7 linked regions of the Mus musculus genome follow. The protein of the gene in region 6 interacts with the protein of the main gene of each other region in a pairwise test. Links are inferred from orthologs where the notes say so. Each region holds a gene or a part of one and is shown on either strand. Other genes may lie near its edges.

Evidence for each region.
Region 1: the proteins of Cep70 (region 6) and Fam161a interact in binary tests that used the Homo sapiens proteins (3 or more experiments, as listed by UniProt). The two-hybrid records come from large-scale screens. The link is inferred for Mus musculus from reciprocal best matches to the Homo sapiens genes CEP70 and FAM161A.
Region 2: the proteins of Cep70 (region 6) and Sytl4 interact in binary tests that used the Homo sapiens proteins (3 or more experiments, as listed by UniProt). The two-hybrid records come from large-scale screens. The link is inferred for Mus musculus from reciprocal best matches to the Homo sapiens genes CEP70 and SYTL4.
Region 3: the proteins of Cep70 (region 6) and Gpatch4 interact in binary tests that used the Homo sapiens proteins (3 or more experiments, as listed by UniProt). The two-hybrid records come from large-scale screens. The link is inferred for Mus musculus from reciprocal best matches to the Homo sapiens genes CEP70 and GPATCH4.
Region 4: the proteins of Cep70 (region 6) and Yju2 interact in a two-hybrid assay, tested with the Homo sapiens proteins (2 studies listed by BioGRID and IntAct). The two-hybrid records come from large-scale screens. The link is inferred for Mus musculus from reciprocal best matches to the Homo sapiens genes CEP70 and YJU2.
Region 5: the proteins of Cep70 (region 6) and Lamtor5 interact in binary tests that used the Homo sapiens proteins (3 or more experiments, as listed by UniProt). The two-hybrid records come from large-scale screens. The link is inferred for Mus musculus from reciprocal best matches to the Homo sapiens genes CEP70 and LAMTOR5.
Region 7: the proteins of Cep70 (region 6) and 2310033P09Rik interact in binary tests that used the Homo sapiens proteins (3 or more experiments, as listed by UniProt). The two-hybrid records come from large-scale screens. The link is inferred for Mus musculus from reciprocal best matches to the Homo sapiens genes CEP70 and C1orf35.

The regions. Positions count from the first base shown.
Region 1 is NC_000077.6:23,006,965-23,011,146, reverse strand, and holds the start of Fam161a (protein FAM161A), read right to left. Parts: upstream 2,801-4,182; 5' UTR 2,707-2,800; coding exon of another isoform or gene 2,521-2,706; exon of another isoform or gene 2,516-2,520; intron 1-2,515. UniProt on the Homo sapiens protein: Involved in ciliogenesis.
Region 2 is NC_000086.7:133,961,313-133,964,812, reverse strand, and holds part of Sytl4 (synaptotagmin-like protein 4), read left to right. Parts: intron 1-2,515; 5' UTR 2,516-2,578; coding exon 2,579-2,688; intron 2,689-2,914; coding exon 2,915-3,130; intron 3,131-3,500. UniProt on the Homo sapiens protein: Modulates exocytosis of dense-core granules and secretion of hormones in the pancreas and the pituitary. Interacts with vesicles containing negatively charged phospholipids in a Ca(2+)-independent manner.
Region 3 is NC_000069.6:88,049,606-88,053,105, forward strand, and holds part of Gpatch4 (G patch domain-containing protein 4), read left to right. Parts: intron 1-1,556; 5' UTR 1,557-1,605; coding exon 1,606-1,684; intron 1,685-2,067; coding exon 2,068-2,141; intron 2,142-2,239; coding exon 2,240-2,332; intron 2,333-2,426; coding exon 2,427-2,513; intron 2,514-3,500.
Region 4 is NC_000083.6:55,957,991-55,961,986, forward strand, and holds the start of Yju2 (splicing factor YJU2), read left to right. Parts: upstream 1-1,196; 5' UTR 1,197-1,247; coding exon 1,248-1,271; exon of another isoform or gene 1,272-1,411; intron 1,412-2,722; coding exon 2,723-2,823; intron 2,824-3,996.
Region 5 is NC_000069.6:107,277,592-107,281,657, forward strand, and holds the start of Lamtor5 (ragulator complex protein LAMTOR5), read left to right. Parts: upstream 1-1,266; 5' UTR 1,267-1,325; coding exon 1,326-1,522; intron 1,523-2,278; coding exon 2,279-2,340; intron 2,341-4,066. UniProt on the Homo sapiens protein: As part of the Ragulator complex it is involved in amino acid sensing and activation of mTORC1, a signaling complex promoting cell growth in response to growth factors, energy levels, and amino acids.
Region 6 is NC_000075.6:99,274,341-99,277,840, forward strand, and holds part of Cep70 (centrosomal protein of 70 kDa), read left to right. Parts: exon of another isoform or gene 1-305; intron 306-1,237; coding exon 1,238-1,407; exon of another isoform or gene 1,408-1,417; intron 1,418-3,048; coding exon 3,049-3,105; intron 3,106-3,500.
Region 7 is NC_000077.6:59,206,942-59,211,160, reverse strand, and holds 2310033P09Rik (multiple myeloma tumor-associated protein 2 homolog), read right to left. Parts: upstream 2,801-4,219; 5' UTR 2,733-2,800; coding exon 2,488-2,732; intron 2,342-2,487; coding exon 2,296-2,341; intron 2,193-2,295; coding exon 2,110-2,192; intron 2,034-2,109; coding exon 1,961-2,033; intron 1,854-1,960; coding exon 1,768-1,853; intron 1,189-1,767; coding exon 1,057-1,188; intron 935-1,056; coding exon 817-934; 3' UTR 425-816; downstream 1-424.

The sequences.
Region 1 (4,182 bases), on a different chromosome or scaffold from region 6:
TGTGTGAGAGAGAGAATGTGTGTGTGTGTGAGAGAGAGAGAATGTGTGTGTGAGAGAGAGAATGTGTATGTGTGTGTGTGTGTGTGTGCGAGAGAGAGAGAGAGAGAGAGAGAGAGAGAGAATGTGTGTGTGTGTGTGTACACCAGAGGTCAGTGACAGGCTTTTTGTCCCCTCAGTGACACAGATACAGACCAGATTAGACCAGATTAGAAGTAGATAAAGGCAGGTTTATTAGGAGGCTGCTCTCAGGTGGGCTCACTGATCTCACAGGTGTGAGAGATCCAGGCCAAAGCAAGGGGATCTTGTAGAGTTTAGGTTGGGAGTGCTGCCATGCTAGCTAGGAGCTGGGATTGTGTCCATGCATGGTCAAAAACTGAGCCCCCAAATGGGCACTCTTGGGCAGGCTGTCTGAAACTCAGAGACAAGGAGCGCTGACATGTTAGCTTGAGTATTCTCCAAGCAGACAGTGGAGATTTCTTTAGGTGGGTGGGGTTGGCAGGAGGGCAGATGTAGTTCCCCAGCTTGTGCAGGGGATAAGCAGGGGTTCCAGGCTAACATCCAATCTTAGCTGAATTCCCTAGCCACTGTCCACTTTATTTTTTGAGGTAGGGCTTTCAGCAAATTCCAGGAATCTGCCTGTTTCTTCTCTCTCCAGCACTGGGATTATAGACAAAAGCCAACACACTGGGTTTGTATTTGGGTGTTGGAAACCCAAACTCAGTTTATAACAAAAATCTTCAGTTAGCAGGGCACTCTGGAACATAAGTACAACTATACAAAGGACAGACCTTTCTGCCGTAGTAAGCCAAAGTATAAATCAATTTCCAAGTGAATTGTTCAAGCTGGCAGTTGTTACAATTACTACTAATTTATGTAAATTACTCTAGAAATGACACCCATTCTCTCCTTTGGTTCTTAATAACAACTGAATAAGGTGGAAAACGGAGACAATTATAGTCCTTTTATAGACAAAGAAACAGAAATCACGGCCTAAGATCACCCAGCACATAGAAGAAAACGGCTTCTGACCCGGGTCCAAGCTCTTGCCTTCCCTGGCATTTCACCTTCTGTAACCTATGACAGGCTGTGTTGAATGATTATCAGGTATAAACCAGTCCTAGGGTTCTGAACCTCATAGCTGGTTAGGCTCTGCTTCACTCTACATAACCTTGAAACATTTGCTACAGGCCAGGCCTGGGGCCCCATACGCTTAATCCCATTACTTGGAAGGTGGAGGCAGGAGGATCAGGAGTTTAAGGTCATCCTTAGCCACAAATAGCAAATTTGAGGCAATCCTGGACCAAAGGAGTCACTGTCTAAAATAAAACAAAAAAGCCGAGGATGTAGCTGTTGGTACACCACTTGCCTAGCAAGCACAAACCCTTCGGCCCACCCCAGCACTGCTAAGGAACAGGGTGTCGAGGGAGCGAGTGCCCGTCCTGGTGCTTTATCCCAGCAGAGTGCTGGTTTAAGTCCAAGGTTCCCGGCTTTTAAAGTGAATAAAAGCTGGGCGTTTTTATTACACACCTTTAAACTCAGGAAGCAGAGGTAGGCAGAGCTCTGTGTGTTTGAGGCCAGCCTGGACTACACAGAGTGAGTTCCAGAACAGCCAGGCTATGTCTCAGAAAACAAACAAAAATTTAAAAGGATGCTAAGATGTTTTAACTGTTAAGAGCACTTGCTGCTCTTGCAGGGGACCTGGGCTTGATTCCCAGCATCCATATGGTAGCTCACAACTCTCAGTAACTCCCAAGGCACACATTCATACACATAAATCTAAAAACAAACACACAAAATGAATAGAACAGATGAAGGAGAGGGGGTGGTTACATTCAAAATATACTGTATGAAATTTTTAAAGAATAAAAGCATTGCTGGAGAGATGGCTTAGTGGTTATAAGTACTGGTTGCTTTTCCAGAGGTAGAGATTATGTGTGTGTGTGTATAATCTCCTCCTCCATATATATCCTTCTGCTAGAAACATATAACACATCCAGGACATAATACTGAAAATGTTTTGTGAAAAGATCTCACTGCACCCATATCATCCCTTTAGGGAACTGGGATTTCGGCGGTTTGTTTATCTGGATGCTTCTCTACATCTGGAGCATCTGTCCACTGAACTTCAAACACGGTTTGCTAATGGACTGCTAAAATCCACTCCTAACAAAAACTGATAAAACACACTTGTCAGTACAACTTATCATCTGAAAGTTGATCTTTTATGAAAACTATGGGCACATCAGTTGTCTTCGGGGGGGGGGGGGGCAAAAATAAATGTAAAAATCAGAACTAAAAAATTATTTATTCCCAAGATATACTGGAGAATAAATAGGAAGTAGAGTTCTGTTCTTTGCATACTCTAGAAATAGCTATAAAAAAACCACTCTCCAATAAAGTTTTGCAGCAACCTTTAGTTGGGGCAGAGAGCAGGGAGGGTCTACAGAGGACACCGCATTTCCACCCGTCCTGCCCGAGACGATCGGACAGCCCTCAGACCCCTCCGGGCTCTCACATTACCGACGCCCGCATCTGCCACACTTTCTTCTGTTCCTCCTCCTCCATGGCCGCCGCCAACCCCGCTGCTACCAAGGACTCTAAGGAGTCTTCGCTTTCGTACTGGGCGACCCTTGCTCCGGTGATGGGATTTGCAGACAGGAGAAGGCTGGCTGCCGCCAGTCTGGCCTCCTGGTGCGGCGAAGCCATCGCCCCGCCTCCAAGCCCAAGCGCCCGCGCCCGCCCAGGGCGGCGTGCAGGCGCTGCCACCTAGCTCACAGATCCTGGCTTGGGGCGAGCGGTTACTAGGGGCTCGGTTACTAGGGACGCTACAGGAGGTGGCGACGGACCATAACGCACGCAACGTCCTTTTTCACTGTCACAAATGCGAACCCCGAGTCCAGCTAGTGTCTAATGATGGTTTCTGATACAAGCCTGCGGTTTCTAGAAGCATAACTGTCTGAAGCTACACAAACGACTACCACAGCAAGCTAAAGTAAAACGCAATCTTCAAGCTAATTGCTCAATGGGAGTCTCACCAGCGCCGGAACAATTACTGATTCACTTGAATGACACCCAGGTCTCCGGCAAGGGACTGAGCTTTTCTCTGGTTTCTAGCTTTATTTCTGTCTAACTACCTAAACGAGAACTTCTCGCGGTATACGGACTTAAAGCAGAAAGCGCGTTTTAACTAGCTGGATCAACATATTAGGGCACAGAGGGACAGGAAGGACCGGGTGTTGGGTGACCATCCCAAGAAAAGAACAGGCTTTGCAGCGCGCTATTCAACATGGCGGAGAACCCAGTTCATCTCTAATTGACAAGAACCAGCGGGTTGACCAATCAGAAGGAGAATACTTATTTGTCCCACCCTCTTTTTTCTCGACTGACCAGTAAGACACTAGACATAGGAAGTGTCTGTCACTCAGACCAGTGAGTGAGATGTGGTAGCTTGTCTAGCGGTTCTGCAGCTAGCTTAGCGGCAGATTAGAGGGGGCGAGAGCCTACAAGGACCACACCCTCCCAGCTCAGCCCTGCCAACCTCCTGATCGGCCTCAGGTTTTTGGCCACTTTGGATGCTTTTTCAGTGAACTCTCAGCCACCTGCAGCATAACACTTTACTTAGAACCCCAGCTAGCGCCCCTGTCCCCACCCTAAGGTTCCAGTACTTTCCACGTTATGCGGCACACCTTCCACAGAACCTGTTTCTGACGCAGTTGTTACCACCCCTTCCTTGTTCCCCTCTGCGAAGCACCTATCACCTTACCTTCCCTGCCTCCTGTTTCAAAACGGTTGAGCTTGCCTTTTCCAACGGAACTGATGATGGATACTGGTTGGTTCTGAAAAGCTAGATGTGGGGAGGGATCCATAGCCATCTGAATGAGAGAATAGTGACTTTCTGCCAGCCACATGCAACTAGTTCTGTGATGGGACTTGGTGTAAACAAGACCTATTGACAGACTGAAGCCCTGTAAGTGGGATGGTTTTAGGAACATGAAATAGTAAATAATGGATATGAAGGACATCAGTGTGTACATAGAATAGGAAAGTTTCGGCTGACAGTATTCTAAATTTGCAGATATCTATTAACACAGCTTTTAAAAAAAAGGTAGATCTGAAAGAAAATGGCACCATTAAAGTGCTTTTGCAGGCCAGCCAGTGGTGGCGTATGCCTTTAATCTTAGC
Region 2 (3,500 bases), on a different chromosome or scaffold from region 6:
CTAGAGGAGAGGGGAGGTGGGGGAGGGGAACTCGGAGGAGAGGTGAGAGGGGAAACTGTGGTTGGTCTGTAATATATGAGAGAAGAATTAACAACAACAACAACAAAGAGATAGCTTCTTCCTTCTCTTCTTAAAACCTAGTTTTGTTGGAGTTAGCATTAATTCTCCTACATTATTATTTCTTAATCTATAGGATCAGGGTATAGATTCTAAATATGCCCACTAAATCAAAATTATTGTTCAACTTGCCTATATACTTTTTACTTTTTCTGCTAGAACTATTATTGATTGGGACATATGTCAACTTTCTGTCCTGATGGCGCCATTTACAGTTCCCTTGCTTTGCTATTCACTTGGAATATTATCCTCATCTTTAGCAATAAATGCATGCAATTCCTTACTAAAAAAGTTGCCTTTTCTAGACGACTGTTCTGGGTCTAGGCCCTACCAAAATGTTATTATCAATGAAAACTGACACTATGTGACTACATAGAACAAACGAGCTCAAGTTTTGACAAGTGATCTTAGCAGTGACTTGGCCCTTTTGACATTTACGTCTGGATGGGAGTGAAGGAGTATAGTAAGTCCTTTTAGACTTTGATGTCTCCATTAGGAAGTTCTCCTATCCATAACTTGAGAGTATATGAGTGGCCATAAATTTTTAGAAAACGTTGTCTTTCTGTGTTTATGCCTCTATTGTTTTTCTTTATTCTGTTTTTCAAAATATGATGTTATCATTTGCCCTAAACTGTTATTGCTTAATGCATTGCATAGGAAAGCATTACTTTTCATTCCATATAGTCCCTTTTGAATCCCTAGGGAATATTTTATCTCGTAATATGCAAACAGCCATGGTGGCAGAGGTGAAGCAAAAGGCAGGTTTATTTGCTAAGATATTAAAGACATGGTTAATCTATTATGAGGTCTTCTTTGACCTATGAGTTAATTAGAAGTGTCTGGCAAATTTTCAGACAGTATTGAGATTAGAATTAACCTTTAAAATTAACTTCTTATTTAATGTCCTTGAACTCAAATACAATTTTTAATTTGTTAAAACTTAGGCCTTTTAATTTATTGAGACTTTTCTAGTACATGATTAGTTCTTGTGTGTGTGTGTGTGTAATATTCCAAGTGTGCTTAAGAAGAATACTTTCAGCTCAATATATAGTTTTTATATGCCATTTAAATCAAGTTTCTTTTCATGCTCAACTTGTTTATACATTTACTAATTAATTTGGTTTTAATTTTTTGAGACAGGCTGTCATGTAAACTAGGTTGACCTTAAACCTTCTGTGGAGCAAAGAAAGCCCTGAATTGTGATCTTCCTGTGTGTGCCTCCAGAGTGCTCGGGGCGGGGTTTACAGGTGTGAGCCAGCTGTTAACTTTGCTGTTAAGCTGCTGGCATCGAACCCAGGGCTTCAGACTCCAACCCATCTTTCCCTTCATTCTCCTTTATCAACAAATGCACTCATAGGGTTAGAGAGATGATGCTGAATAAGAATGCCTATTACTCTCCCAGAGTTATGTTCTCCTAGTTATGTTCTCGGCACCCATGGGATTGGCTTACAACTGCCCAGAACTCCAGCTCTGTGAGATCTGGTGCCCTCTTTTGGTATCATACCCCTTGTATCTGCATGCACGTGATATATACACACACACACACAGACACTTTAAAACAACACTCATTTAAATAAGGCAGAAATCCATATCCTCTGTGAAAATCCTCACATGTAAATAGCATTCTCTTTTTTTTTTGTCTCTTTCTCTCCTCCCTCCCCTGTCTATGTATGACAGAATTAGATACTTCTGTAAGTTTCCATAGATCTAATTTAAAATTTCTTGATAGCACTTGCACAAAGTACTGTGTTCATGTGTAAGTTTCTGGAACTCAGCGACTGTGGTTTATTCATCTCGGTGTCCCCAGTGCTTTCACAGAGTGGTGCTCAACAAATGCTAATTTAATGGGAGAAGCTGTTCTCAAGTGCAGAGGTAGTGCCTGTTATTTGGGAGGTAGCGGGGGTGGTAGAATCTTTTGAAGCATTATTAGGAAGATGACTAAATTCCAGGAACACATGAACAAGTCAGGGATGGAGAATTCAGCTTAAACTGGCAGCCCCCTTAAATCTAGAGACCACCTACCTGACTATCTGAGTTAATAGAATTGAGAGTTGAGAACACTTACAATAATAAAAGTTGGATGATGATGAGGGCGGCCTTCTTGGAGGGAGAGTTTGACTTAGCTGCCTTATAATCCTTCCTGACTAAGATGCTTATTCTGAATGACCCAGCCACTTTCCAGAGTCATGAGTAATTTTTTGAAAAAATAAAAATCATTCTAGGCCAGGGGTTCAAATGTGAAAGTAGAAATAATGAATCGCAAACTTTTTTTTTTTCTACTTTGTCTCTTTAGCTTTAACTCAAGAAGAAGGTAGCCTGGGGGGGGGAAATGTTCTAGGGCTGGGCAGTGACTCTGCAGTTAATAATCTTCATGACATTAACTGCTTTTTTATTTTAGACACATCTGGTCACTCTTCTTGCCCAGGTTGCTTTGAAGGAAGAGGAGGAGCCTAAAGCCACCATGTCGGAGATACTAGACCTCTCTTTTCTGTCCGAGATGGAAAGGGATTTGATCCTCGGTGTTCTGCAGAGAGATGAAGAACTCAGAAAAGCAGATGAGAAAAGGATTCGGTAAGGGGCCCAGAAATACTAAGCCCTTGCAGGCTTTCAACCAAGGAGACTCAAGCTTTTCAGTTGTTTCTTCATTCATTGTCGGCATCGAGTAAATGATTTAAAGCTGCGTAGGACTGCTGGGCTCTGCATTTGTTGCTTGTACAGAACACAGTGGTCTTACTGGCATCCTCTCCACTTCTGTACATCCTGAACCCACTTGTGCTTCTCTTTCCTGTCTTGGCAGGCGACTGAAGAATGAGCTCCTGGAGATCAAAAGAAAAGGGGCCAAAAGGGGCAGCCAACACTATAGTGATCGAACCTGTGCCAGGTGCCAGGAGGGCCTGGGCCGCTTAATTCCCAAAAGCAGCACTTGTGTGGGCTGCAATCATTTAGTGTGCCGAGAATGCCGAGTTCTGGAAAGCAATGGCTCTTGGAGGTGCAAGGTGTGCTCGAAGGAGATGTGAGTATCACTTCGTGGCAGCATAAAGAGGGGGACATATGTCGGGCTGCCCTGAGACTTTCTCTCATCAATTTTGTTAGTTGAGTGACAAGAGTCATTGTTTCTACAGGTCTTACTTAAGGTTTCTATTGCTGTGACAAAATACCATGACCAAAAAGCAAATTTGGGAGAAAAGGAGTTTATTTGGCTTACACTTCCAGGTTGCTGTTCATTATTGAAGGAAGTTGGGGCAGGAACTCTCCAACAGGGCGAGAACCTGGAGGCAGGTGCTGAAGCAGAGGCCATGCAGGGGCGCTGATAACTGGCTTGCTTTCCATGGCTTGCTCAGCCTGCTTTCCTGTAGAAGCCAGGAAGGATCACCTGCCCAGGG
Region 3 (3,500 bases), on a different chromosome or scaffold from region 6:
GGAAGCTTCTGAAAGCCTGATAAGGCAGTAATGTGGGCGGAAGGTTTGGCTCCCTCATAAGGTCAGTGCAAATGTTGGACAATAGGTGTAGACTTTAGGCTCTCTTAAGTACCAGTCTCTAGCTCAAGTTACCAAACACCTCTTAGCTTTGTTTGCACAACGTAAACAGACTCTGCACACAGGCTTCCTGGTTTGAATTCTTCATACATTAGTTGTGTGACTTAGTCTAGCTGGTGTGTGTGTGTGTGTGTGTGTGTGTGTGTGTGTAAGGGGGGGAGAGGGAGAGAGAGAGAGAGAGAGAGAATGAGCATGGGTAGGAAGGGTGGAAGACAGCCCATGGAAGTCAGTTTTCTCCTTCCACTAAGTACTTAAGTAGGTCTCTAGGACTAAACATCGGTTTTGACAGGAGGCTCCCTTACCCACTGAGACATCTTTCTGGCCGTAGCTTCTTTTAGTCCAGGACTCAAGGATAACGAATGTGCCACTGAGGTTTTTCCACTTCAGCTAACTTAAACAGGCTAATCTCTCATAGACCTGTTCAGAGGCTAACTAAATTAGTCTATAGGTGCAACTGGAGGCTTGCCATCCAGGTAATTCCTGCCATGTTGACAGTAATACCAACCATATTACTGTCACCACCTAAGCTATTTAAGGCTCAGCTTCCTTTGTCACCTGAGTAGGGTGGCAAGATTGAATGAAAGTTTTCACGTTCGTAAGGCTTCAGTGTAGCTTATGCCACACATCTAGGTATCAGTATTAACACTACCCCTCCTTCATCCTGATTCCTGTTGGGTCTTGGCCCCTTTGACCAGAGAGAGGACTCTCCAAAGAACAGTCGTCCTCCTGGTGTCTCTCAGGACTCAAGAAGAATTCAAGGCTGGAGAGATGGTTCAGTTAAGAGCACTTACTGCTCTTGCAGAGGGCCTGGATCCAGTTCCCAGCACCCACATGGCAGCTCACAACTGTAACTGGTTCCTGCATGCATGTAAGGCATATACATACACTTGGACATACACAGAAACTTTTGTTTGTTTGTTTGTTTTTTTAACAAAAGAAACGTCTTACACAAACAGCTTTATGTATTTTAGGCACAGACAGGGTCTTAAGCATTCTGGTCCTGAGCTCCAAACTCAATCAACCTTGGAGTCCCGAGCCTTCGGGGGCCACTTCCCCAGAGTTGGAATTACAGGCATGCAGTACCACACCTAGTTACACAATGCTGGGGATTGAACCCAGGACCTCACACATGTTAGGCAAGCATTCTACCTCCTAAGGCATACTAAGGACAGCCCTAGCCCACACTACCACCCCTTCCTTTCTTTTTTACTTATTTAGGGTCTCATATAGCACAGGCTGGCTTCAACCATCTCTGTATAGTTGTAGATGATATGAACTTCTGATCCTCTTGCCTCCACATTCCATCTGCTGGGATTACGCGTGTGGGCCAGCATGCCTTATTTTACATGATGCTGGGGTTGAAGCCTGGGGCTTTGCGTGTGCTAGTGAAGCACCCTGCTATCTAAGGTGCACCTCCAGTCCTTTCTTTCCCTATTCAGAGGATAGTGCCATGTTTTCCCTGGTGAGAACCTGAGGACAGACCCTGCCATGAGTGTCACCCCAGAGGTCAAGAGCCGTGGGATGAAGTTTGCTGAAGAGCAGCTGCTGAAGCATGGATGGACTCAAGGTGTTCTTCCATATCCTCCCGCTCCCTACTCTCTGCTGCCCCATGCCAGTTCAGCCAGAGGGGACACTAGTCTAAAGAGAACCTTTAGAAGCATACGTTTTCTGACCCATCTGGATTAGGGAAGAATGGGCGAAATCCTCATTTTGGATAACGAGGGATGAGGGGCAAGTGGTTGGACAAACTAGAGGAGGCCACAAGGGGATAGAAAAGATAGTTCTCCCTCAGACGGGTTCCTGAGTAAGCCTAGAAGGAATGGAGAGAGGTAGGTTTCTGAAAGGTTCAGAGTGTACTCTGTGATCAGTAAAGGAATGGCGGTTAGCCCAGGAAGACTTGGTGAGGGCTCAGGTCAGGCTACAAAATAAGTCACTCACTCTCCTCTACAGGCAAGGGCCTGGGCCGGAGGGAGAATGGCATTACCCAGGCCCTCAAGGTGACACTGAAGCAAGATAACCATGGGGTAAGACTGGGAGGTGGTCAGCATGAATGGGAGAGGGGACCCATGAGGGCCAGTGGGCGGTGCTCAGACTGTGACTTCTACTTACTGTTCACATGGAGGTGGGACATGACCCTGCCAAGGAATTTACAGACCACTGGTGGAGTGATCTCTTCAACAAGACTGCCGCCAGCTTGGTAGTGGACTCGGGGAAGGTATGAACTTGTCGGGTATATTGAAGAAACCTGCAGGCCTGGGGTGGGGTAGGGCACTACAGCACGCCACTCTCTCACCGATATTTCCCAACAGGATGGAGTGCAGATAAGACGTCTTTCCAAGGAGACCACCCAGCGCAGTCACCCCAAACCCAGCTTGCTGTATCAGAAGTTTGTGAAGGTAATAGAGTGAGAGATCCAGCTCTCAACTGCTCCCGTCTGTCTCCCTGGGTCCTGATCAACTGCATTGTGTGTCCAACTAATTCCCAGGATACCCCAGTACACCGAGATCCCGTGCCCAGCCTTGCTGTGCCCGTGCCCTCACCCAGACTGAAATGTTAAGGTTCATGGACAATCCCATCTGCTGGGGAAGCAGCAGCGTACAGTGAGAGGGAGGGCTGTCATTTAGTTAGGAGCTGCTGGGGTGGGATATGTTGATGTATAATTTTAAAAGAGTTAGAAGCCAGGAGAGTCCTGTGAGGTTGCCTGGTCCACCCTTATTTTACATATGTGAACCAAAGAGTAAAAATGGTTTTCAGAAGAGCCCACAGCTGATGAATAAAGGCAAAAAGAACAGAAGCCGGCAGTTAGTAGCACAGATTCTGTGTGCAGGGCTTCACACAGCATCCCCTCCCAGTTTCTACATCTTGACATCTACTCGGTTCGGGCAGTCCTTGCCTCTTTAAGAGCCTCTGCCTCTATCCTCACTCTCCACCACAGTCAGTGACCTTCAAAGCATCCATAGGGTTCTCTCTAAAACACATCGTATTATGTAATAAGAACTTCAGTTTCTTTGAAAAACACAGAAATATGGACATATGTTTTTGTTTTCATCTCAGGTGTGGGATATGGGGGGCTGCTTCAGATTGCAGTCAGCAGCTGACTATGATTTGCCTCATGCTTTAGCAAGGGTGTGGTTTTGCCAGCATCAAGTAGTTTCTTCGATTCTGTGATGTTTGGAATTCTGGGGATTTTTCAGAGGGTATATAAATGCTAGGCCCCAGAGGAAGGGTGTTGTGGGTTGTTATTGTGGTTGGTTAAGTAGTCATACACAAAGAAGGAAAAAGGAATCAGATGCCCTGTCAGTGAAGGTCAAACTTGCCTCAAGGAATCCCATGCTTTAACAATAACATTACTTCCTTTTCTTTCTATTCTTTATCTTCTCTTC
Region 4 (3,996 bases), on a different chromosome or scaffold from region 6:
CTAAGCCTGGCAGTGGTGGTGCATGTCTTTAATCCCCAACACTAGAGGCAGCCACAGGCGCATCTTTGTTGAGTTTGAGGCCAACCTGGTCTACAGACTGAGTTCCAGGACAGCCAGCACTACACAGAGAAACCCTGTCTCAAAAACAAAAACAAAACAACAGCAAAGATACTATTTTTTAAAGAAAAAAGTAAAAAGAGTTGGGCACAGTGTCTCTTATTTGTAAACCCAGCACTTGGGAGTCAGAGGGAGGGGAGGACTACTGAGTTTTCAAGGTCAGCCTGGATTACGTGGTGAGTTCCTCTCTCATAAAAGAAGAAACGCACCGGGTGGTGGTGGCACAGGCCTTTAATCCCAGCACTTGGGAGGCAGAGGCAGGCAGGTTTCTGAGTTCGAGACCAGCCTGGTCTATAAAGTGAGTTCCAGAACAGCCAGGACCACACAGAGAAACCCTGTCTCGAAAAAAAAAAAAAAAAAAAAGGAGAAGAAAGAAGAAACGCACGCGCGCACGCACACACCACCACCACCACCAACAAAACACAATGAAAACCAGGCAGGTCACTGATTCCAGGCTTGCAGTAAGATTGTTTCAAATTTAAGGCCAAGCTGGACTGCAGAGTCTGCTCCAGGCCAGCCTGGGCATCTTAGTGAGAGGCTACCTCCCAGCATTAGAGCGCTGGGTGGTGTTTTCTGTGGTAGAGTGCCTGCCTGGCATATGCAAAGACCCTGGATTCCATCCCCAGCAGCAGAAATAAAGAAACTTAAGAAGAAGGAACACCAGAACGGGACATGGTGGCCTTTAATTATTTGGTCCCAGAACTCACAAGCAGGAGGATCTCCTTTAGTTTGTGACCACCCTGAGCTACATAGTGAGTTACAGGACAGCCAGGGACACACAGTGAGACTCTGACTCAAAAAAACAAACAGCATTGTTGATCAGAGTTAGGAGAGAAAATGTTATTATCCCAGGCAGCTTTCTCCATCCTTTCAGTGTGCTAGATAAGCGCACACAGGATCCACATGTCCCGGAACCTTTATTTCGGGTTTCAACTACCGGCACCCGGAAGGGAACGGAAGCGCACTCCCGACTCGGATCGACAAAGATTGCAGCCAATGAGAACGATGAAGCGGGTAGGCACCAACCAGTGAGCCGGCTTAGGAAGTGGCGACACTGAGGCGCTGAATCGGAGAAACTCCCCGTAGACTGAGGACCGCTTCTTCGCTTGTTCGCTGGACAGGAAGCGAAAATGTCGGAACGGAAAGTTTTAAACGTAAGTGCTCAGAGTCTAAATGTTCCTACAGAGGGTGAAGTGTGCGAGGGCTCCGGGCGAGGCGTGCTTCCTTCCGGTCATTTCCTTTTGCAAGCCCCTCTCGCGCACACGCACGCACACGCACGCGCGTCTTCCAGTCGGGCGGGAGCTTTCCAAACTCTTGCCAATCACATTTTTGGGGGCGGTCGTTAGCTTCCCCCTCTCCCCGCCCCCCCCCCCCCAGCTTCGTGAGTAACCAATCATCACCAGGGAAGCGGAGCTTCTGTCACTTTACCCAATTGGGGGCAGGACTGCTTCTTTGTGGGTTTTCCCCAGATCAGATCAGGGGATGTTGTTGGTCACCTCAGTTCTTCCCGGCTTTTGTTGAATTAATATCCGAAACCTTTTGCAGAGATGTCTACATCATGTTGGGGTTTCTGGGGTGACTCAGTCTCCACTCTTGGAAAATTTTGCTCTCCATTTCCTGGATCTGTTTTTTAAATGTTTGCTTTGGGTTAAGGTTTCACTGTACACAGAAGGCCCAGAATGGCCTCGAACTCACAGACCAAAAGTTTGTACACCTAAGATGGGCTATATTCACTTTTTAAAGGATTAGTTTTATTTTCACTTTATGTTTTTCCTTCATGTCTGTCTGTGCAGCACGTTTGTGTGCACTGCCCAGGCTGACTGTAAACTCACAGTTCTGCATCAGCCTCCTGAGTGCTGGTATGACAGTTGTACACCATCATTCCCGTCTACCGCCTGAATTAGCAAAGCTTCCTCTCTCGTGAGCCTGGTTGCCAGTAGGTGTCAAAAGCAGAGCCTCCTTGTTGGTGGTCCACATAGCTTCTTTTTGGGGGAGAGGGGAGTTGTCTCTCTTCAGCCCCCTGTCTCAAATTCCCGGGTGCTGGGTTTGGACATTGGCATGCCAGTAACCCAGAGTGGTTGTCCCTGTGCGCCTCACCCCAGCCTCCCAAGCACACAGAGAGGCCAGAGCCTGTTCTCCCCAAGGAGATTCACTGGCCAGATTTTGCCCTGGGATGGTGCCCTGCAGCCTGTGTGGTACCCTAGTGCAGGTTAGGCCACCATTGACAAGGTCTGATTTATGTCGGGCCTCCATTTCCTCATGAGTGTCTAGAATCTTATCATGTGATAGGCAGCAGGGGTCCACCCTTACTGCAAACCCTGGGCCTCTAGAACCTTCCCTAGAAGGCATGTCACAGCGTAGGAAAGTGACCCACCACACTATATAATTTGTGTTGGAAGCTTGTGCACTCCTCCCTGTCCCAACTTCTCTTCTCATGACTGTGCTTCAAACAGCTCATGTCTGGAAAGGCTCCAGCAAGCTGAATCCTGAGCAGATAGATCCCTTAAACCAGAGTATCCTGCGTCTGCTAACATGGCTCTCAGACCCCATTCCTGCCCGTATGGGACCTGAGCACCAGAAAACAGCAACGCCCTCTTCTCCACAGAAATACTACCCACCTGACTTTGACCCATCGAAGATCCCGAAACTCAAGCTACCCAAGGACCGGCAGTATGTGGTGCGTCTGATGGCCCCCTTCAACATGAGGTGAATCCCTGGGGACATGAGGCTGGAGGCTGATTCTCTGGAGAAACAACAAACAAAGATAATAGTTCCCACCCTCACAGAGTCCCCAACCCCTATCTCAGTAGAAAATCAGAGTGACACTTGGCCCTGCAGGATTTTGGACCCTCTAGTGGCAGCCCTCCTCCTGCCCAGGGCCTTTGCACCACCTATGGCATCTGCCTGCAGATCTCTTGTAGCCAGCTTCTCTGACAGAGCCTGTCTCCCATCTCATCCCAGGCAGGCTGCCAGCCTCCTCTTAGACCTTCACCCCCACTTTCCTGGGTTCAACCAGCTTTGAACCAGACAGTTATTCACACTTGACTGTGTGTGAGAATCACAATCCTGTAAGTCACACCTGTACAGTCACTGAGGATGGAGAAGCTGTCCGTGTGACTAATTGATTATATCTTGTCTTCATTTCTTTGTTTGCTCCTGTCTTAGACACTGTGAACATGGGAGCTCTTAGAAGAGAAAGCATCTAATTGGAGTTTGCTTACAGTTTCAGAGGGTTAGTCCATTGTCACCATGGTGGGGAACATGGCAGTCATGGTGCTTGAGAAGTAGTTGGAGACTACATCCTGATCTGCAGGCAGAAAGAGAGAAACACCAGATGTGCTGTGGGTTTCTGAAACCTCATAACTCACCCCTAGTGACACTTCTCCAGCAAGGCCACACCTCCTAATCATCTTCCTCCTCCCGACCCCCCAAGACTCCTCGGTGACTAAGCATTCAAATCTATGACTCTTAGGGACCATTCTCATCCACACCACCGCACTCCTCTGCAGGCAGTTGTCAGGCACGTATCATTGATGGGGCGAGGGGAGCCTCCTGACCCTCAGAGGCTGGTGGGGAGTGGGAGTCATACCCATCCTCTGTAGTAACACAAGGACACATGAGGCAGGCAGGGCAGGTGGTCTGCCAGCCGGACAGTCAGGGAAGTGTTAGAATCTCAGGCTGCCAGGACAGCAGAGAAAAGGCCCTGAGGTAGGACTAAGCCAGAGGTGTTTGTAGGTACAGCAGTAAACCAGGACAGGAAGTGGGGGGAGCAGCCAGGGTCAGGATTCTGCTGTCCCCTTGGCAGTTCTCAGAAGCTCCATACACCCAGTCCCTCCTACCTATAAGGTACATATGCTGCCACTGGGTGCTAGAGCAGAG
Region 5 (4,066 bases), on a different chromosome or scaffold from region 6:
TTTAAAAAACATTTCTCTACAGAGTGAGTTCCAGGACAGCCAGGGCTACACAGAGAAACCCTGTCTCGAAAAACAAAAAAAAAAAAAAAACAAAAAACAAAAAACAAAAAAAATTCAAATAATACATTTGCAAAGATAGCCATATGGAAAAGATAGTCTCCAAAATATCCTTATCAAACTATCATCTCTTCACAGTAGGACTATGAGTGGTTAGTTTATTCTAAAGTTTTTAAACCCAGGCATGTTGGTGTAATCCCAGCACTTGGGAAGTAAAAGCAGAGAGATCAATACTTCAAGGCCAGCCTCGGACACACTGCAAATTTGAGGGCAATGAGGGGTATATGAGATACTGTCTCTAAAACAGAAAAGGGAATAAAAATTTTAAAGCTCAGTTATTTTAAAGTAATAATACACGGTCTTCACTAACACCTAAAACTTAAACCTAATTTCTTCCCCCTAAAACTTCCCATGACCTAGCTATTAGAAGTATCAATGCAAATTAAATATGGCACATGGCAGTAAATCACAGGACAAAGGTGGGAGAATTCGAGGCCAACCTACGAGAACAAAGAAGGTACCAATGTTAAGATTCTGACACTTTCCCAGCACGCAGTTTGGGGTTTCAACGTGTGCCATCTCTTCCTTTAGTCCCGTGTGTGCACCCCTCCCCATCGGCCCTGTGTGATAGGTTACTTCTCCTCCGATGTTGGTGAAATGAATCAATTTAAACCAGAGTAGATGATGTTAAAGGCAGGTTTATTGGGAAGCTGCCAGCCGGTGGGTGAGTTCACTGGCCCCAAGGACCAAGGCCAGCGAAGTTTCCTGGGAAAGGAAGGAAGAAAGAGAGAAGGGGGAATGTGTGCAGAGAGAGAAAAGGAGAAGGAGACCAAAATGTCTGGATTCTATAGAAAGGAGCCCTATAGAAAGGGAAGGGCAGCCCAGCCCCTGGGCTGGAAAGTTCAGGGTTGGGGGCAAGGTATGCCAGGTGGGAACTGAGGGATGCAGAACCTGGAGGCCAGTTCTGCTTTGATAGGTAAAGTATACACCTCAGCCTCTTGACCTAGGGTCAGAAACTGAGCACTGTCTTCTTAGCGATTGGCCTATTGCATAGATGAGACCATGCCAGACCTGCTGGTTACTTTAAAATTTAAACCAGGTCTACGTCTGGTTAGGACTGGAAATTGCTTGAACCAAATCCAAAGGTTAAAAATCACTAAGTCCAAGTGCTAGGTCAGGAAAAGGCCCTGAGGCCCGACTACAGATTGCTTTGAAGGCCCAGCACCCCCAATCGAAAGCCAGCCATCACTGGTCCTGTGGTAGTAGCTATGCCTTTTCGTAAAGAGCGCGGACGCGGCGCCGCGCTGAATTTCGTCCCTCTGGAGACGCCGTCCAGGCGCCCGCCTCGGTCAAGTCACGTGATCGAGGTTTGCGGTGAAGGAGGAAGTGTTTTGCTGCGGGGTCCTGGCCTGGGGCGGACAGCCTGCGGGATGGAGGCGACTTTGGAGCAGCATTTGGAGGACACGTGAGTAGTGCGTGCGGCCGGTCCTGGGCTCCGGACAGGGGAGCTGGAATGGGACAGCGGCATGGACCGCGAGTGTCTGCGGAAGCGTTTGGGGCACTCGGGGCGGCGAGCGGGTGACTTCTGCCTACGGCCGGGCCGCTCGTTACTGGGTAGTAAAGTTTCGTTAGGCGTGTTCGCAGAATCGAGTAGCTCTTGAGAAGTTTGGGAAACGGATTAAGTTTGGGGAAGGATGCCCCGGGTGTGCTAAATCGAGCCCCCGCAGTGCCAAAGCACTTTCACGCACATCTTCCCGCGTTTGTGGCCCGTCAGTTGCTCAGCGCTTGTGAAGTAAATATATCCGTAAAGTTTTTCAGCTATCTCTGTAAAATTTAAAATTGGGAGGTGTAAAGTGGCTTACAAGAAGACACCTCCTCCTTGAGCTTCTTAATCCCCTCCAGGAGCAATTCCCGTTACTGAGATTTAACAGTTGTCTTCAGGAGTTGCAGTCCTAGAGCATGCTTCTATACCAAGGACAGAGCCCTAAAGATAACTGCCTTGTTTGTGTCTTTGTGAAGCAGAGGTGCCTGAGAAAATGGTTTGGGTTTTGTTTTGTTTATTTAAACAACTCACAGTTTGTCCTCTGAAAGGGGGCGAAAAAATTTAAGGGCTGATTTGAAGTGCTTAATACTCGGTGCATAGAAAATCTGTTTTACTACAGTAATTTGAAATATTTTCTTCACATCATCTGGTTCATCTTTCTTGTGCTCCCAAAATTAGAATGAAGAATCCATCCATTGTTGGAGTCCTATGCACAGATTCACAAGGACTTAATCTGGGCTGTAAGTGTCTCCTACCAGCCTCCCTTTGAAGTTCTGAGAGCCTTAACTTACACTGCTACTATTTTCTAGCTTTTATTCCTGTTACCTTTAGGGCATAGAGACTATCTCCAAGTAAGAGTAGATGGTTGAAGCCTTTCAGTTGCATTTTAAAGGCAGAAATGTTCCTCCCAGTTCTACAACTGTTCCTACTAAAATGGTTTTGAATAAATTTTAAGTGGTCTAGAAAAGGGCTTTAGATAAGGACATCTTTACTGAATGCATTCCCTGTGCAGGCACAGTCAGGCTACACTATTTCCTTAATTGCCTCAATAACCCTGAAAATGGATGATGCTGGCTGCTAGTCCAGCCACTCTCAACAGTAAGTTATTGTCAGTAAAAATAGGGATTTCCTAGTTAGACACGTCTGACTTCAACCCCATTCTCCGATGCTGTCTGCTAGCAACATGAGTGCCGAACAGAAGGAGCCTCTTGGGGCTTCAGTTTCTTCATTGGGTTATTTTATTTCATACATACATTATGTGTGTGTTGTCTTAAGACATTTTTTTTTAAAAACTTATTCTACGTGGCCCTGGCTGTCCTGGAACAAACTTTGTAGACCATGCTGGCCTGTAACTCACAGAGATCTGCCTGCCTCTATCCCTTGAATGCTGGGAACAAAGGTGTGCATCACCATGCCCAGCCAGGCACTATTCTTAGTGTTTTCATTATAAAACGTACATAACCCCCCTTCCTGCCCCCCCCCCCCCACCAAAGCCCTTTATGGTCAAGAAATTTAGCAAGCTTAAAAGTACCTTGCCCAGGGTCAAACACCTAATGAATGGTTGAGATAGGATGTTTTTAAAGCTGGCTCCAAAGCTTAAAACACCCAGTACAGAACCAAGATGTGTTTGTGTGGTGTTCAATAAATTGTAGCAATTACAGATAAGGAACTAAGTCCAGAAAGGTAAATAGCTAAAGTTAATTAATGTCAGAAACTAGTAAACCCAAGAATCCTTATAACTGATGCAGGTTTTTTAGAGCTCTGATCTTTTGCTGGTATGATACCTGACAAAAGTAATATAGTTATGTCTTATACAAAAAGCAGCCATTTGGAACAAAGGTAAATTTTTTTGAAGCATTTGCCAAGTTACTAATGAAAACTCTTTAAATGCAAATGTGGAGGAAAAAAAAAAACTAAGTAAAACCTTCAAGGTGCGAAGTTGCTATTTCCAATAGATTTCCGGGCTGCACTTTGGCCTACGGATTTTTTATGTAGTAATAGTCAATCCAGAATTTCTGCCAGGTTATATTGTCTACTACCTTAGTTTTAGGTGTAAGTAAACCCCTTTATTTCAGGGATCTATAATAAGCTTGGTGGTTACCTTTTGTGCCTAGAGCCTGATTTAGTTAATACAAGTCAAAGTAATAGTAAAGACTCGGGGGACATTTGAAAGGAGCCCAGCTAGCTTCTGCTAGCAGAAATAGTTGCTCACAGGTCTTCACATATGCTGGCAAGGTGATCTTACAACTGGACTTCTGAGTAATGGCTGCTTCTTTGAGATTGAGCATAGGAAGAGAAACTCAGATTTCCCATAAGGAATTAATTAGCATCAACAAGCCCCTTATCCATACTGAATGCTTTTTGTCACTCTCGCCTTTGAATTTCTTGGTTTCAGCAAGGTTCCTATAAAATAGTTACTACCATCAGATGACTTGAATTACAGCTTCCTTATATGCTTGAGAAGGT
Region 6 (3,500 bases):
TAGACACTTGCACATCTATGCTTACTGCAGTGTACATGCGTGCATGTATGCATGCATGTCTTGAAAGTTGAAGCCAGACTGGGGGAATGAAAAACAGTGGGGAAGAAGAAAAGGAAAGATATGAAGATACAGAGGTGAGCATTGTCAGAATACATGATACACAAATGAATCTCATCACTGTTTAATGAATATATGCCAAGAACACTATCCATCTCAATGATTACTTCTAGGTTTTGGCCGACTTACACACTGGCATGTTCACCACTTAGCTATTGAGGTCATGCCTGGTTTCATGGAGAGCCAAGGTAAAGAATGGATTACTGTATATTTCATGGTCACTAGGAGAGGGTATATTGCCAGCAACTAAGACTATTACCCCTTTGAAGGTTGCTAATTTTCAATAAATTTGATGCCTTGGACAAATGAGCATGTACTTGGCCATGAGTGTTTTGTTTTAAAAGTGATATATTTTTTTAATAAATCTAAGGCACATACTGATTATTCCTGGTTATGGACCTATTCTGGATTTATAGTCTTCCCCCTTTTCCTGGATGTCTCAACTGACTACATCATTTGTGATCTACAGATCATTTTTGATTTTTAAATTTTCTTTTGGGGGTTTTTTAAAAATATTTTTAATATATGTCTCTTCCTGATTATTGTTTTTATCTAAACCTAGATATAAGTTAGGGAGAATAGTGCACACAAAACCCTAGCAATTAGAGGCTGATATATTAGTATACAAGATGGAAGCCAGCCTGGACTACATAAATCTCATAAATCTATTAAAATAAATTATATTGGCTTCATATAGATTCTTTTTTAAAAATTTATTTTTATATATGAGTACATTGTAGATGTCTTCAGATACACCAGTAGAGGGCATCAGATCCCATTACAGATAGTTGTGAGCCACCATGTGGTTGCTGGGAATTGAACTCAGAACCTCTGGAAGAACAGCCAGTGCTCTTAACTGCTGAGCCATCTCTCCAGCCCCTTCATATGAATTCTTAAAACCCTTACTGATTATTTAACCTTGAATGCATGCAGTCAACATAGTTCCCTTATTTTATATGTTTTCACGTTTGTGACATAGTAATATTCCTTGCATCAATTTTAAACAGGCTTGATGCTACTTACTGAATGAAACAGCTCAGTGGAGATGGTGACACAGGTATAAGGAGACAGCGTGTCCTACATGTCTGATCATAATCGTACTTTTACAATGTTCTTACAGATGAAATGCCAGCAATATAAGAAAAACCGAATGGAGCAAGAGGGGACCATTGCTTCTTTGCAAAAGGAGATCCACAGACTTGCCAAAGAGGAGGAAGAGCGCATCCTCACTCAGAACAGAGTGTTTGCCCATCTCTGCAGAAGAGTCCCTCACTCAGTCTTGGATAAACAGTAATGCCTAGTACATAAGACGATAATGGAGCTAGATGGATTGTTTTCAGCTAATTTTTTTCTTGAGGGTGGTTAGATCTTTTGCTATAGAAATCTCCTTTTCCCCTTTTTTTTCTAGTTCATCATTTTGTGTGTGTGTGTGTGTGTGTGTGTGTGTGTACACGTGCGCGTGCATATTTGTATTGTGCATGCATGTGTGTGTGAATATAATTTTAAGAGTATTTTGAGTAATTAATTTATTAAACTTTATATATACAGGTGTTGTGCCTGCATGTATTTATATGTACCACATGCCTGCAGTGACCAGAAAAGGATGTCAGACACCCCTGGAACTGGAGTTATAGACAGTTAGTTGTAGGCCATCTTGTGGGTGCTGGGGATAAAACCTTTGTCCTCTGAAAGAGCAACCAGTGCTCTTAGACTCTGAACCATCTCTCCAACTCCTTGAGGAATGGGTCTAGACATTTATTTTTAAAATATTAACTATGGATGGGTAGGTATAGTGGCACATGCCTTTAATTCCAGCACTTGGGAGGGAGAAGCAGATAGATAGATCGCTGAGTTCTAGACCTGCCAGGGCCATACAGTGAGAACCTATCTCAAAAAAGAAAATCCAAACTAAACAAAAAATACTTATCAGTTTTGTGTGTGTGCAAGTATGTGCACATACCTGAGTGTGTGTATGTGTGTGTGTGTGTGTCCATATGGTATGCTGGAATCAAACCCAGGTCCCAAGTAAGAGAAGCAAGTTCCCTTAACCATTGAGCCTTGGGCAGATATTTATGAGGGAGATTGCCAGAGATAGGATTGTTGGGACAGGAAGACTATGTATTTAATAAAGTGAAACATGCTTATAAATATAGTAATAGAAGATATATAGATATAGATCAGTGCAATACTTGTTTCTGGCAAGAATTACTGAAAAATTTTAAGTTTGCCAGACAATCCGTGCTAAAGATTTGATTTCGAGTAATGTGTATGTATGCATGTATGTGGGTATATGTGCTTCCAGAGCCATTGGAAACCTCCAGGGCTGGAGTTACAGTGGCTTTGCCCTACCCTATGTGTACTGAGAACTGAACTTGGGTCTTCTGCAAGAGTAGTATATACTTTAAAAAATGTTTAGGCCTGGAGGGGTGGCTCAGAGGTTGGGAGTACTCGGTACTCTTGCAGAGAACCAGGGTTCTATTCCCAGCACCCACGTGGTGTCTCACAGTTGCCTGTATCTCTAGCTCCAGGGGATTAGATGCCCTTCTTGGTCCTCCCTGGGCACTTGAACACAAGTTGTACATACACACATAAATAAATAAGTCTTAAAGAAAAAAGTTAAAATGTATTTTCTATGTATGAGTGTTTTGCCTATATGTATGTACCACATGTGAGCCTGTGCCTGTGGAGTCCAGAAGCAAGCATTGGATCCCTTAGAACTGGAGTTAGGGATGATTGTGAGTCACTGTGTAGGTTAGAAATTAAACCTCTGAAAGAGCAGCAAGTCTCTCTAGCCCTGCAGTATGCTCTCTTAACTGCTAAGCCATCTCTCCATCCCCAGTCTGTATTTTTATCTTTGTAATTTGAAATTATGTAGGAAGTTTGGTAAATACTACCTTTTGAAACTAACTGAACATATTTTTTGTTTTCTAGATTGCTGTGTCTAATTGATTACTATGAATGTAAACTTAGAAAACTTCATATACAAAGGTATAAATAATATAATTTTATTTTTATATTTATACATTAAGTTTCTGTTGTAATCGCAGAAGTTTGAAGCGCAGGGTAAATGAGGTGCTGTGCACTGCACTGTTAGCCACTTACGCGCTACAATTTTTCTTCAGTCTTTTTATTAAGACTTGGAAGTAGTATTAGGAATCAACAGTATGTGTACAGTGTGTTTTTAAAAAGACCAGGAAATGTTCCATTTATATTTTGTTTGTTCATTCAAGTATTTTTCATCCACTCTTGTGTCCCGTGACAAAGTTTTCTGGTCCTCACACATTCTAAGAGTTAGTAAACATACTGCTCTAAGATTAGATAGCTACTGTGATGTGATACTATTCTTTGTAGAACAAGTGGGAACCTGGGATTTCCATGTTTAA
Region 7 (4,219 bases), on a different chromosome or scaffold from region 6:
GCCTAAGTGGACTGACCTTCACCCCCTTGAGGTCTTAGATAATTAGTCTTCTCTCATGCTTAGGTGGCTACCTGCAGGGCACAGGTCTTCATAGAAGCAACAGCATGAGTCTCAGGACATTTTGGGGTCTGCCCAGAAGTATGCATTCACAGCACAATAGCTTTTACAATCAGAACTTTCTATACTGTAGCAGCCCTAATTTCTACTGTCTTGCTATTATCTGGCTGTTGAACCTCTTAGGGAGACAGCAGATGCCTTCAGATCACAAAAGTTTGTTCTTCCAACTTCTTGGCCACTTGTATGGTTGTAAGGCAGCCTCAAGGACAGGATTCTGGTCCCTAGACCCAGTTCCCTTAATATATACTGGAAGGGGGCCCCATGCTCCCAGCCTAACCTGTCCTCAGCGAGATAATATACACTCTACTTTTAAAATACATTTACTTAAGTACAAAGTGGGCTGATACACACACAAAAAAGGAGTAATCAGTAACACGCACCCTAACCTCAAGGGCCTGGCCTGTGGCAGCAGAGACAGTCTCCTGGGCAGTTAGATCCTCCTTGGCAGGGGGACAAGGCAAGAGCACTACCCTCTTAGAACCACTAGACTGGTAACCCAGGACCCACTCTATGACCTGGAGTAGTTGCCTCCAAATGGCAAGATAGATCCTAAGATCCAGCAAGCTTGGCTCAGGATCCTGTTGGGGAGCAGCCACCTGCCTTATCCCAGCCACAGAGGGACAGTTAGTTGGGCAGGTAGGGAGTGGGCTGGTAGCTACTTGGCATCCAGGGCTCTGGTGTCCTTTGGTGTAGCCATTCTCAGTCATCAGAGCTTCTGTCTTGTCGTCTGCGGGATGGATTCCTTCCACTGTCCTGGCTATGTTCCCGCTTCCTCTTAGAGCAGGGAGAGAAGTCAGAATGTCTCTGGTGTCTGGGCCTACAAAGACAAGGACAACCAGACACTTAAAGGGTCCCTCACCCTGCCAAGCACCACACCAGGCCTGGCTAGCTTTGCCTCCCATTTCCTTAGTGTCCCAGGTAGAGTTGGGCCTAGCCTACCGGGGAGGAGAGGGAGATGAGGAGCAGCTGTCAGCCTCCCTCTTATGTTCTTTGTCTTTCTTCTTTTTGTGTTTCTTGTGTTTCTTCTTCTTTTTCTTCTTTTCTTTCTTGCTTTTCTTATGGCTCTCTGCACTGCAAGAAACAATACAAAGGATCCGAGCTTGAAGGACTCGTGTCTACTCGACTGTGGGGTAGTCTCACCCAGCAGGGAAAGGCAGACTAGAACAGGATCCATTGTGCACTGATAATATCTACATGTCGGGAGTTCATATTTATAAATGAGCTTATTAGGCTCCATGGCCACAAAGATGAGTGCTGGAATGCTGCCAACCTGGTGAGCCTCCTCTCTCCTTGGAGACAAGTTCTCATTATGCAGCCTTGTCTAGCTTGGAACTCACTATTTTACCTAGGTACAAAGTTGAGATGACACAAAAGTAGAAGTAACCAGACACACGTACCAGCTTGTGAGAACTCTGAGAGATCAGCCTGCTGTCTACCAAATGCTGGGATTAAAGAAAGTTGTGTGCCGCCCACCCCACAAGCACCTCCCACCAAACTGGCCAGTATCATGGTCCTGAGCGTCACCCTGCTGGGTCACCTATGGCAGCTACTGAGACTCCAGCCCAGAGATGGAGGTCCGCCTACTTCAGTCAAACTAAGAGAGCTAAGGCAGTCTGCCCCTTTATGCACAGGGAGGCAGACTCAACTTACTCCGGTTCGACCTTGTCCTCAGCGCGAGGCTTCTTCCTGGGAGCAGTTGGGGCAGTGCTTGGGCCTTCGCTGTCCACACGGTGGTGCTGTATGACATGAGTAGCCGTGGTGAGGAACACCCAGGGAATCCTGCCCCACATCTCAGACACCTCTAAACCCCAGGATCCTGTGCATTGGGCTTGACAGGGTTTACCGTGAACACTGACAGCCCAAGTTTGGCAGCCTCTTTGTCTTCTCGGGATAGCGCCACACGGCCCGCGGAGCCACTGCAGGGGACAGAGCATTTGAGGACAGTTCTCAATCACCGCCCAGGCCTACCCTGGACTCCCCAACTAGCCTAACCTGGCGCTGCCCAAGCCCAGGAGCCGGTCCACGCCCTTCTCCTCGGGGTCTCCTCCTTCCCGTTTGCAGATCTCCACGAAGTCCTGCGAAAGCAGGGTAAGATAGGAGGTTCTAGGCCGAGACAGACGGACCCCCCCACCCCCCCCCAACCACCCCGCGGACCTCGAACCCATATCTCAGACTCACCTCCTTGCTCAGGCCGGTGGGCTGTTTCCTCACGTTCTTGTAACCACTGCGAGCAAAGGTCAGGAATGCTCATCAAGGGTCTGGCCCCTCGGTCCCCTTCTTTCCTGTGCCCCGCCCACATCCAGCCCCGCCCCAGGGCCACCCAGATCCCGCCCTCGGGGCTTGCGGTCGCCCCGCAGACCAGGCACTTACAGTGCGGCCAGCAGCGCCTCACGCTCCGCCTCGCGCACGGCTGCCAGCTCTTCCTCACGGCTCGGGCCGGTACACGGCGCGCGGTCCTTCGCGTACCAGGTGAGGTCGCGGCCCTTCTGCCAGCGGCCTACTGGCGCCATCAGCGAGTTGCCCAAGTAGTTCTCCCTCTGCTTGTCAGTCTTCACGTCCTCCCAATTGAACTGGTCTTGTCCGCCACGCACGCCACCGCGATTGGAGCCGAACATGGCGCTGGAGCCACTGCACAGCCTTCAGTACCCGCGGTCTCTAGTCGGACTTCCCGCAGCACTCCGGACGCACGCCGTGACGTCACTCTCGCGCCCCCGCGCGCGCCTGCGCTCTCGCTAACGTGCCCGTGCGCCTGCGCACTGCGTATCCGAGGGCCTTATCAATCAAGATCCTCTTTCTAAAGGGCGTTCAGGGCTTCTCTGGCGCATCCTTCATCCTAGTGCCACGTGCGCCTGCGCAATAGCTCCTCAAAAAGGCGGCTGTGCTATCCCACCTGATAACTCTCGTGTGAAGGAATCTCGGTGGAAGGGGACACTACAAAACCTTAGTGACACCAGGAGGGGCCGGCCCCTTGCTTTCTGGAAAGCCAAGAATGCTAACTCCAAAGGTCCCGGGTCACTGTTGAAACTAAGTTAAATAATGGCAAACCTTCACGGAACAGAGGGACAGATAAAGTCACCAAAGAAACATGGATTCACTCTTCCATGCTCTGGGTGACAGAATATGCGTATGTGACATGAAAGCCAAAGCATCCCTAAACCAGAGCGATCTGTGTTCTCTGCAGGTGAAGCTTTACTGGGCAATTTACTGAGGCTGCGCCTCAAAATGAACAGAAACTGAGCTACATCTTAATGACAGATCACTTGCTTAACATGATGGTCTTGGGTTTCATCCCTAGTCTGAAAAAATACCCATCCTGGAACTCTCTAGCATCCCAAATAGACCAAGACAGCCTCATTTTTATGTCTTCATCCTGAACACGTTGAGTACCTGCCACAGCTTGTGAGGCTCTTGGTATGAGCCCTGAGGTCATGGCCTGGCTTTAGAGGACACAGTTGGGACAGATTCCTCAGAACAAGATCATACTCGGGATGAATGGATGGTCCCAAGGGGAGCTGCACAATAAAGTGGAAACGTATCCTTTATTTGCCTGATGTAATTGTCATTTCTGAAGCTTACCGCCTCTGTCTGCTAACCCAGGCCTTGTCCTGGAAGCTTCTAGCCTCCATACAATCTTATCTTGGCCTAGAATGTTTTCAACCTCTGAGACCTATTGCTGAATAAGCTCACCCTTTAATGCTCTTCTGAACTCTATCTAGCTGGGTGGTCAACTCAGCTATTCTGGCTCAGACTCCTCCACACTGAATGATTCAAATTGGCTTCTTCCAGCTTCCCCCGAATTGCTCTGCTTGGCCTCATACGACCTTTGGTATTATGTTCTAATCTCTGGCTCATTTTCTGGCTCGTTCTGTCTTCACCTGGCTAGTTTGTTCTTTCTCTGCAACCTGTCTCTGTACAATGGTCCCAGTAAACTGCCCTCTCCTATTCTTTCCCCTAAGTCACTTCTTTCCTCTCTGTTCTCATGAGAGATAGGCATATCCTATTCTGTCAAATCTCCCTGAGTCACTGGAAATCACTTTCAAACATGGGTGCTTCTTTCTAACTAAGTTTACCTTCATTGGGATTAAAGGTGTGTACTAAGGCT